Ovis aries: one gene and its partner. Each later gene encodes a partner of the first gene's protein in a complex. Links are inferred from orthologs where the notes say so. Each region holds a gene or a part of one and is shown in the gene's direction. Other genes may lie near its edges. The genes, in order: RANBP9 and GID4.

The links.
Region 2: the proteins of RANBP9 (region 1) and GID4 are in contact, whole or in part, in a cryo-EM structure (PDB 7NSC), measured with the Homo sapiens proteins. The link is inferred for Ovis aries from reciprocal best matches to the Homo sapiens genes RANBP9 and GID4. Residues at the interface, in NP_005484.2 of Homo sapiens: Ser223, Lys224, Gly225, Arg226, Asp227, Gly228, Tyr229, Met230, Gly256, Asp257, Thr274, Phe275, Thr276, Thr277; in NP_076957.3 of Homo sapiens: Leu187, Arg189, Asp194, Glu195, Asn216, Asp218.

The regions. Positions count from the first base shown.
Region 1 is NC_056073.1:42,219,077-42,222,456, forward strand, and holds the end of RANBP9 (ran-binding protein 9), read left to right. Parts: intron 1-1,698; coding exon 1,699-1,829; 3' UTR 1,830-2,693; downstream 2,694-3,380. UniProt on the Homo sapiens protein: May act as scaffolding protein, and as adapter protein to couple membrane receptors to intracellular signaling pathways. Acts as a mediator of cell spreading and actin cytoskeleton rearrangement.
Region 2 is NC_056064.1:34,268,717-34,273,054, reverse strand, and holds the start of GID4 (glucose-induced degradation protein 4 homolog), read left to right. Parts: upstream 1-1,290; 5' UTR 1,291-1,528; coding exon 1,529-1,717; intron 1,718-4,338. Other genes in the region: ATPAF2 (ATP synthase mitochondrial F1 complex assembly factor 2), read right to left, coding at 804-936.

The DNA.
Region 1 (3,380 bases):
TGCGACCCCATAGACGGCAGCCCACCAGGCTCCCCCGTCCCTGGGATTCTCCAGGCAGGAACACTGGAGTGGGTTGCCATTTCCTTCTCCAATGCATGAAAATGAAAAGTGAAAGTGAAGTCGCTCAGTTGTATCCAACTCTTAAGTGACCCCATGGACTGCAGCCCACCAGGCTCCTCCGTCCATAGGATTTTCCAGGCAAGAGTACTGGAGTGGGGTGTCATTGCCTTCTCCAGTATAAACTACATAGGGTTGATTATTTACATAAAATGACATTTTAATACCTGGGCATTTTTTTTCAAAGGGAATTTGGATGAGTGACTTTTCACCTTCCATTTTAGAATGTAATTCCTCAAGAAAAATGGGAGCTACCAGTTTAAAGTCTGTTGTGTGCTGTTTGGCCATTAGGCTTGGGAGCTTTGAGGAACATGTGAGACACTCTTAGATGAGGGCCGTGCACAGTGTCAGTGTGCAGGCAGGAGACTGGAGCCAAAGCCAGGGGAGCAATTTAGAGTTCTGACATTGGGGCCTTACTTCTTTTCTCTGATAAAGTTCATTATTAATTAATTGTGTTGTGGCTTAATAGTGAAGTTTGGGCATAGGAATTGGTATTGTTATAATTTTCTCACATTTAGGATTTGTATATAATGATGTGAACTTTGGTTAATATGTTGCTTTGGTTATTCAAAATTAATTTAGTTCTACTGATAAAAAATAAGTATACTCAGTAGCAGTGCTAGAATTGTAGGGCAAATTATAGTTTACTGTAACTGTCTTTTTGAAATGACTACATTATAGGTAATCATGAAGTCCTAATTGCTTTCTATCTGGGTAACGCTCAGATTCAGAATTTTTGAAGAAAAGTGACCAGTTTTCATGTGACAGTTAAGAATCTTATGTTCTCCAGGGGAATTAAAATTTCAAGTAGTCAATTGCTTAGGACCACTATCCAGGAGATATATATATAGTCTTACATATTGTGCCCTAAATTATGTAGTTCAACTACAAATAGTGCTTAAATTCATTAACTATATGTAGTTCCTGCAAAAGGAATGACCAGACTTACACTGCTGGGGGGGGGGGGTGCGTATTTGTATACTGTGCTGTGTTGTAGAGCTTCACGTCTCAATGGGGCTTCAAGTTACATTACTGTATGTGAGGCCTGCAAGTTTTGTATTCCAAAAAAGTCTAAAGGACAGTTATAATTGATGTGCCTCCCTTGGCCAAAGTAAAAGTGTAACAATGTGCTTACCAACCCAAATAGCATTCACCACTGTGCCCTGGAGAGGAGTAGGTGGCCTCTGTTGGGCCGTATCCCCAGAAAGATGAAGAATCCATCAGTAAAACTTTACTGAACGCCTGGTGCCTTTTTTTCTGGTAATGTCAACATTAGATAAACATTAGTTAAGAAATTACATCATTCCCATCATAGTAAATATGGAAGTAAATTTTTTGAATATCTAACAGTCTTAGTTCTGCAAGAATTTACTACTACTTGAAAACCCAGTGACCATATAGTACCTTGTCAAAGTAATGTCCAAGGTATTGTTTGCTTAAAAACCACCTTTGCTACTTAGCTTGTTAAGTGCAGTACAGGCATTGGTAATTTTGTAAGCAATGCAGTGTTTTCCTGATTGAGAGATGCTGTTTAAAATGTCTTGCTAATTGGCGTTTCCACTTTTAATCATTTTTCCACAGAAACCCACAATCTGCCAAAGCAACCTCCACTCGCCCTAGCCATGGGACAGGCCACCCAGTGTCTGGGACTGATGGCTCGATCAGGAATCGGATCCTGTGCTTTTGCCACAGTGGACGACTACCTACATTAGCTATGCATTTTCGGAGCTCACACTTACATTGCGGCATATAGACGACATGGAAGTAGACCAGCTCTGCTGATCTGAAACTTAGATTTTTTTAATTATGTACTGGGGACAGGTTTTTGTCGCTTTACATTGCTTCCTAGTTTACAGCATGATGCAAATGATTTTCTAACTTAGTGTTAGGAGCAATTATTTTCCATCTTTAGCCTCTTAGTTGTCTAAGAGTTGAATATTACTGAATTCCAGACATTCAAATTGATCATCACAAATCCTCTAAAACAATTACCTAAAAGAAACCAAAAAGTCCTGCCTTCGTTGTTGGGGGGAGAGAGGGGGGAAGGAAACGGAACAAGTTGTGTTTGTGTTAGCATGTGGGTGATGTAAACTTCAAATTGGGAGGTATTCTGACCCCCGCTCCCATATAAGCATTCAATCAGTGTAACTTGCAAAATGCATAAACATCTGACAGTTTGAATTTATAGTGTTGATGGAAGAAATCATTTTTAATGTGTACTGTAAAACTTGAAATACTCAGGAGCTGAGTGAATATGTTTGTTGCTACTTACAATCCCGACCTGTTAGTCCCAGTAGTTTTGTTTTAACATGGTCTTTCTCAACTTTGTTTCCTGTTTAACTACAGATGACTTCTGTTGTAGACTCACAAGTTGAACTGTTGTATTATAACAGTATTACATGTCAACAGTGTGGTTATGACCTTTATTTATATAAAAACCAAATATTTAGTCAATTTACTGTGTCTTAATTTAATCTTTGTACACCTTCCATTTTTAAGTGCTTAAAATGAGTACTATATTGCAATAAAAATGTAGTGATATAATTAACCAGCCATTAAAAATTTACTTCTACAGATACCAGAGTGTCAGTTGAATTTATACATTAGGTACCTGCATACTTATGATTAATATAAAGTTAGAACAAGTAAAGTTAGAACAAGTTAGAATGAGTGGTTGCTACTATAAATCTGAGCTCTGCAACCCAAGACTGCCTTGCATTTACTGGCCTCCCTGGATCAGGGCCAAACCTGATGCTATAGATGATGCAGAAAGCAGGGAGTCGATCTTATTTTCATGATCATCATATGGTGTGTGACTTGCCAGTTTTAAAGCAAACCCCCAAACTGGTTAAAAGTAAAATATAAACAAGCTCTTCAACAGAATGACCATATCCTTTGGTTTGGCAAAGGTGTCTGTTGGCTGTACACTGAGTCTTAAACCTTCTTTTAAAAGAACAATTATCTACGCTTGGATACTCTTCCACATATTCTGTGAGAGTCTCATCAGTGGCACCAAAATACCTGAGACAAACACATCAGAGAGCTTCAGTTAGAGACTTTTACTGCCATACCGGGGGTGGGGGTTGGACGGACGGTAGCAGAGGTGCCCTCCTGGTGTGGGTACTGCTTGTGGTCAATAAAATGGAAAAACAGGAAAAAAAAAAGGAAAACAAGTCCTTTTAAACTGCTGCTTCCAGGATGCTCAAAGACTAGGAGGCACGGTTATACGCCAGGTGGATGAAGTGTGACTAGGTACTGCCCCT
Region 2 (4,338 bases), on another chromosome or scaffold:
TCTCTTTAGAGGAGGCAGACAATGAGACGCTAAACCACTTGTGCAGACAAGACAACTTGTAAGCAGAGACCCCCAGCTTTGACTTCACCGGTGTACTCCTCAGCTGGACAGGCAGGCTCTCTGAAGACCTTTCTTCTCTATGCAGCTGATGGCTGGGACAGCTGGTAGGGGACTGGAGGCCACACGGGCGACCTCGGAACAGCTCCAACACCGCAGTGACCTTCTCCTCACCCCCACCTTCAGCACAGTACTAACTGGCAGGAAAGAAAGCGTTACTGTCTTCACTCACTTAAAGTCAGTCCCACTCTTATCCCAAAATCTTTGCCTAGGAGTAAGAAAGATCCGCTACAGAAAGCCTCATCCGAGTCGGAAGTGCAGGAAGGGGGCACGGGGTGTCAACTCCTTAGAAGAGGTGGCAGGTGTTCTGGGAGGGCAGCAGGAGGCAGGGCCAGGACAGCTGTGGAGCAAGCGGCCGGGATGGAAGACTTAAAGCCCGAGCTTCAGGCCCCTTCAGTGCCGGTCGCGGGGACACAGAAAGCAGCCTAGCAGACTGGCCTTTGCCCCGCAAACCTCTGAGTCTGCTTCGCGCCTCTAGCGCAATCCCGACCCAGAAGTCGAATTTCCCCGCCTGAAAATAAGGATGACCTCTGCTTCCCCAGTGAAAGAGAGAAAAACCGCACCTGCCAAAAGGAAACGACGCGCGTGTGCCCTGGAGCGATCCCTGCCCTCGCGGGGAACTTCCCTCCCACCGTGTGACCCTGCATGGCCGACCCCTCAGCCTGCTCCGCCCTGGCCTCTCTCACCTGCCGGGGGCACGTAGGCCCGGAAGGGGATAGGGGGCTTTCGCCCCAGCCCCTCGGAGGCGGTGAGGCCACTTCGGGGCCGGTTCAGGAGGCGACGCCCCCCATCCCGCAGCCGAAGGCAGCTCCTCCACATCGCGCGGGGGCCTCAGAGAACGACCGCTCGAAACCAGAGCTCGGGGAAAAGGAGCGGAGGGACCACACGCCGTGTGCTCGAACTCCACAAACCTCCTCACCAGTCGCCGGCACCCTCTCCCTTTTGGGGCGCCGCCATGTTGCGCACGACACTCGTAGCGCGCCGCCGCCGCGCGCCTCAGCGCACGCCGCAGCCAATCAGCATCACAAACGCCCCGGCCCCGCCCCCGCGCCGCGCCTCGGGAAAAAGACTACAAGTACCAGAGGGCCTCGGCTCCCGCCACGTGCTTTCCCCGCCCGCCAATGGGCGGAATCGCCGAGCCAGCCTGATCCCGCCCCTCAGCGCGCCCGAGCCAATCGGAAGGGGTGTGTGTGCGAGCGCAGGCGGGGAGGGGGTTCGCTCAGGACCCGGAGGCCCTGCTCGCAGGTCCCGGGGTCCCGGTGGTGGCCGGAGCGCTCGATCTGCTTGCGGCCGGCGGGTGGACCCCTCCCGCCCTACGCGCGCGCCGGCTTCTCCTCCGTCTGCCCTCGGCTTCCGCGCGGCGGCGGCGGTTCCTCCCCCTCCCCCAGCCCTGGCTCCGGGGGACCCCGCGATGCCGGTCCGCACCGAGTGTCCCCCGCCGGCCGGTGCCTCGGCCGCCTCCGCCGCCTCGCTCATCCCGCCGCCGCCTATCAACACGCAGCAGCCCGGCGTGGCCACCAGCCTGCTCTACAGCGGCTCCAAGTTCCGCGGCCACCAGAAGAGCAAGGGGAACTCGTACGACGTGGAGGTAGTGCTGCAGGTGAGCCGGCGGCCCGGCCTCTCGAGACGTCCACGGACCGGGCCACGCCGCCGCCCCCTGGGGCCCGCGGCCACGGACGGGCCTGCTGCCCGGGCCTGCCGGGGGCCCTCCGGCGCACCCCAACCCTGCGGGCCCGAGCCGGGGACCGGCCGCCTCAGATCCGGCCCTGCCTCCCCGTGGCCTGTCGCCCCGGCAACAGTCTTTCTTTCAGTCCCTCTCGGACCCCGTCCGGGAAACTCTCCAGGGATTCCCTCTGACTCTGGACGCTCCCAGGCCCTAGACGTGCCTGCTGCCTCCCACGTTTTCCTCGGTCCCATGAACCCCAGGCCCTGGGACCCGCCTCCTTCTCCGGGGGTTTCCTCCCCGGCAGAGCTTCATCCGCCTCCTCTCTCCATCAGCCCCGGGACCTGAGGGCCCCCATCCCACCTGGACTGCTGGCCCATTCCTTAGCCTGGGCACTCACATCCTAAGTGGGCTCCTCACAGTCTGTTAGAAGCTGATCTCCTAGCCCCCAACCCATAGTCTCTTCCTGGCTCAGACTCTTGACACTCCCTACTCCCCACCCTCTTTCCACTTCCAGTCCACTCCTGTTCTGTCCATCTGTCTGCCCAGACCTCCCCATCTCTCTGTTCTCCTCCTTCCTGGCTCTAGGGGACCCTCTTACTGTATTTTTAACTTTGATCCACATGTCAGGGCTTCCTTTGTAGTCTCTGATACTCATGCTAGGAAATGTAACTCACCCACTTTTATTTCTCATATGGTATTTCCTCCCCCCATCTGACCTGGATTTCTGAGAACCTGCTGCCAGCTCCTAATGGCTTTGGAACTTTAGCTTTACCTGTCCCAGCTCCTTCCTGCACTTCACTCCTCTCATGTCGATGGGAGCACACTTGACATTTCCTCCCGGCCCAAGGAGATCGGCAGTGGTTAATCCTCTTTCTTCTCTGCCTTCTTGGAAAACTGTTCCTCCTGTCTATCTGCTCAGGCCTGCAGCAGGACCCACTTCCTCCTCCCTTCGCCCTGTTGTCTTCAGTCTGATACCTCACCTCCTGAGCTGTGCCTAAAAGCTCCTCCAAACACTGTCCCCTCAAAGGTCTTGCAGAAGCTTTGATGTTCTGTCTGAGGACAGAATGTAGGATGTAGATGTAGAATGTAGGTTGTGTGAGGACAGAATTTTTCTCCTGTCCTTTGCTCTTTGCTGATTTTAAATCTCAAACAGCCTCTCTTCTCAGCCTCTCTTCTCCCACCTTAAAGACAACGGGGATATGTTTTGTCTCCACCAACTGCCGATTCATCTGCCTCTTTTTATCTTACTGCTTTGTGGGAGTAAGTCTTTTACTTTAGATCAAGAGAACTCCATCTCTGTTAATTGTGTCTCTGGTCTACAAACTGAAATTTCTAACATGAGCTATGATGTTTATCGTAATTAAAAAGATGGGCATTACCTGGTGGTCTCATGGTTAGGATTTGGCGCTTTCACTGGACTGTGGCCCAAGTGCAGTCCTTACTCGGGGAACTGAGATCCTTCGAGCTGTGAGACAAGGCCAGGAAAAGAAAAGGGTCGTAGCTGAGTTATTTCAGCTTTCACCATTAGACGACCACTGTGGCAATCTCCCTTCTCTTCTGCTCCAAATGTGAGAATTGAGTAGGAAGATACAGACTCTTTTACATTTTGCAGCTCATCATAAAATTCTAGAAGTGAGATGCCTGGTGTGGGTCATGTTTGGGATGATCTTGACTTGGGCCTCTTGTTGAGTTTGATGGTGTCTAATGGGGTTGGGGACCAGTGGCGGAGCAGCCTGGTATCACAGACAAATCTTGGTTCCTGCGGCAGCTCCCCTCCCTGTCCTCAGTGTGTTGTTTCTGAATTCCTGCTGGTGCCAATTCCCTTGTGAACTGGTGGGAGTAGGGATTGGGTTGGTGCACAACTGGCAGGTCCCAGGGTGGCCAGAGTGACCTGGCCAGTGGCTGGAGGCCACTTGGAGTCGGCCCTCTGCTGGTGGGGGCGGCAGTCACACCCAGGAATGCTGCCCTGCACCTGGACCTGGATGGGTGAGTGTCTTACTGTCGCAGAGTCTGGCCTGTGAGTTGCCCAATCAGCTGGTTTTTCAGCCACAACTGGGTTCTTGGGCTCTGTCATCTTAGAAACTTCTGAGTTTTGTAACTCCGCCTCTTTCCTGCTTTCTTTCTATTTTTCATAGGAGCTTTATTGAGGTATGATTCGCCTGTCACACAAGTCACACATGTAAGGTGTACAGTTCAATAGTTTTCAGTGTGGTCCCAAAGCTGTGTAACTGCCACTGCAGTCTAATTTTAGAACATCTTCATTACCCCCAGAAAGAATCCTTAGGTGCCACACCCCTCCAACACTATTCAGTTGCTAAGTCATATTCGACTCTCTGTGACCTCATGGACTGCAGCACGCCAGGCTCCTCTGTCCTTCACTAACTCCTGGAGGTTGCTCAAACTCATGTCCATTGAGTCAGTGATGTTATCTAACCGTCTCATCCTCTGCCGCCCCTTCCTCCTCCTGCCCTCAATCTTTCACAGCATCAGGGTCTTTTCCAACGAGTCAGCTCTTCGCATCAGGTGGCCAAAGTATTGGAGCTTCAGCTTTAGCA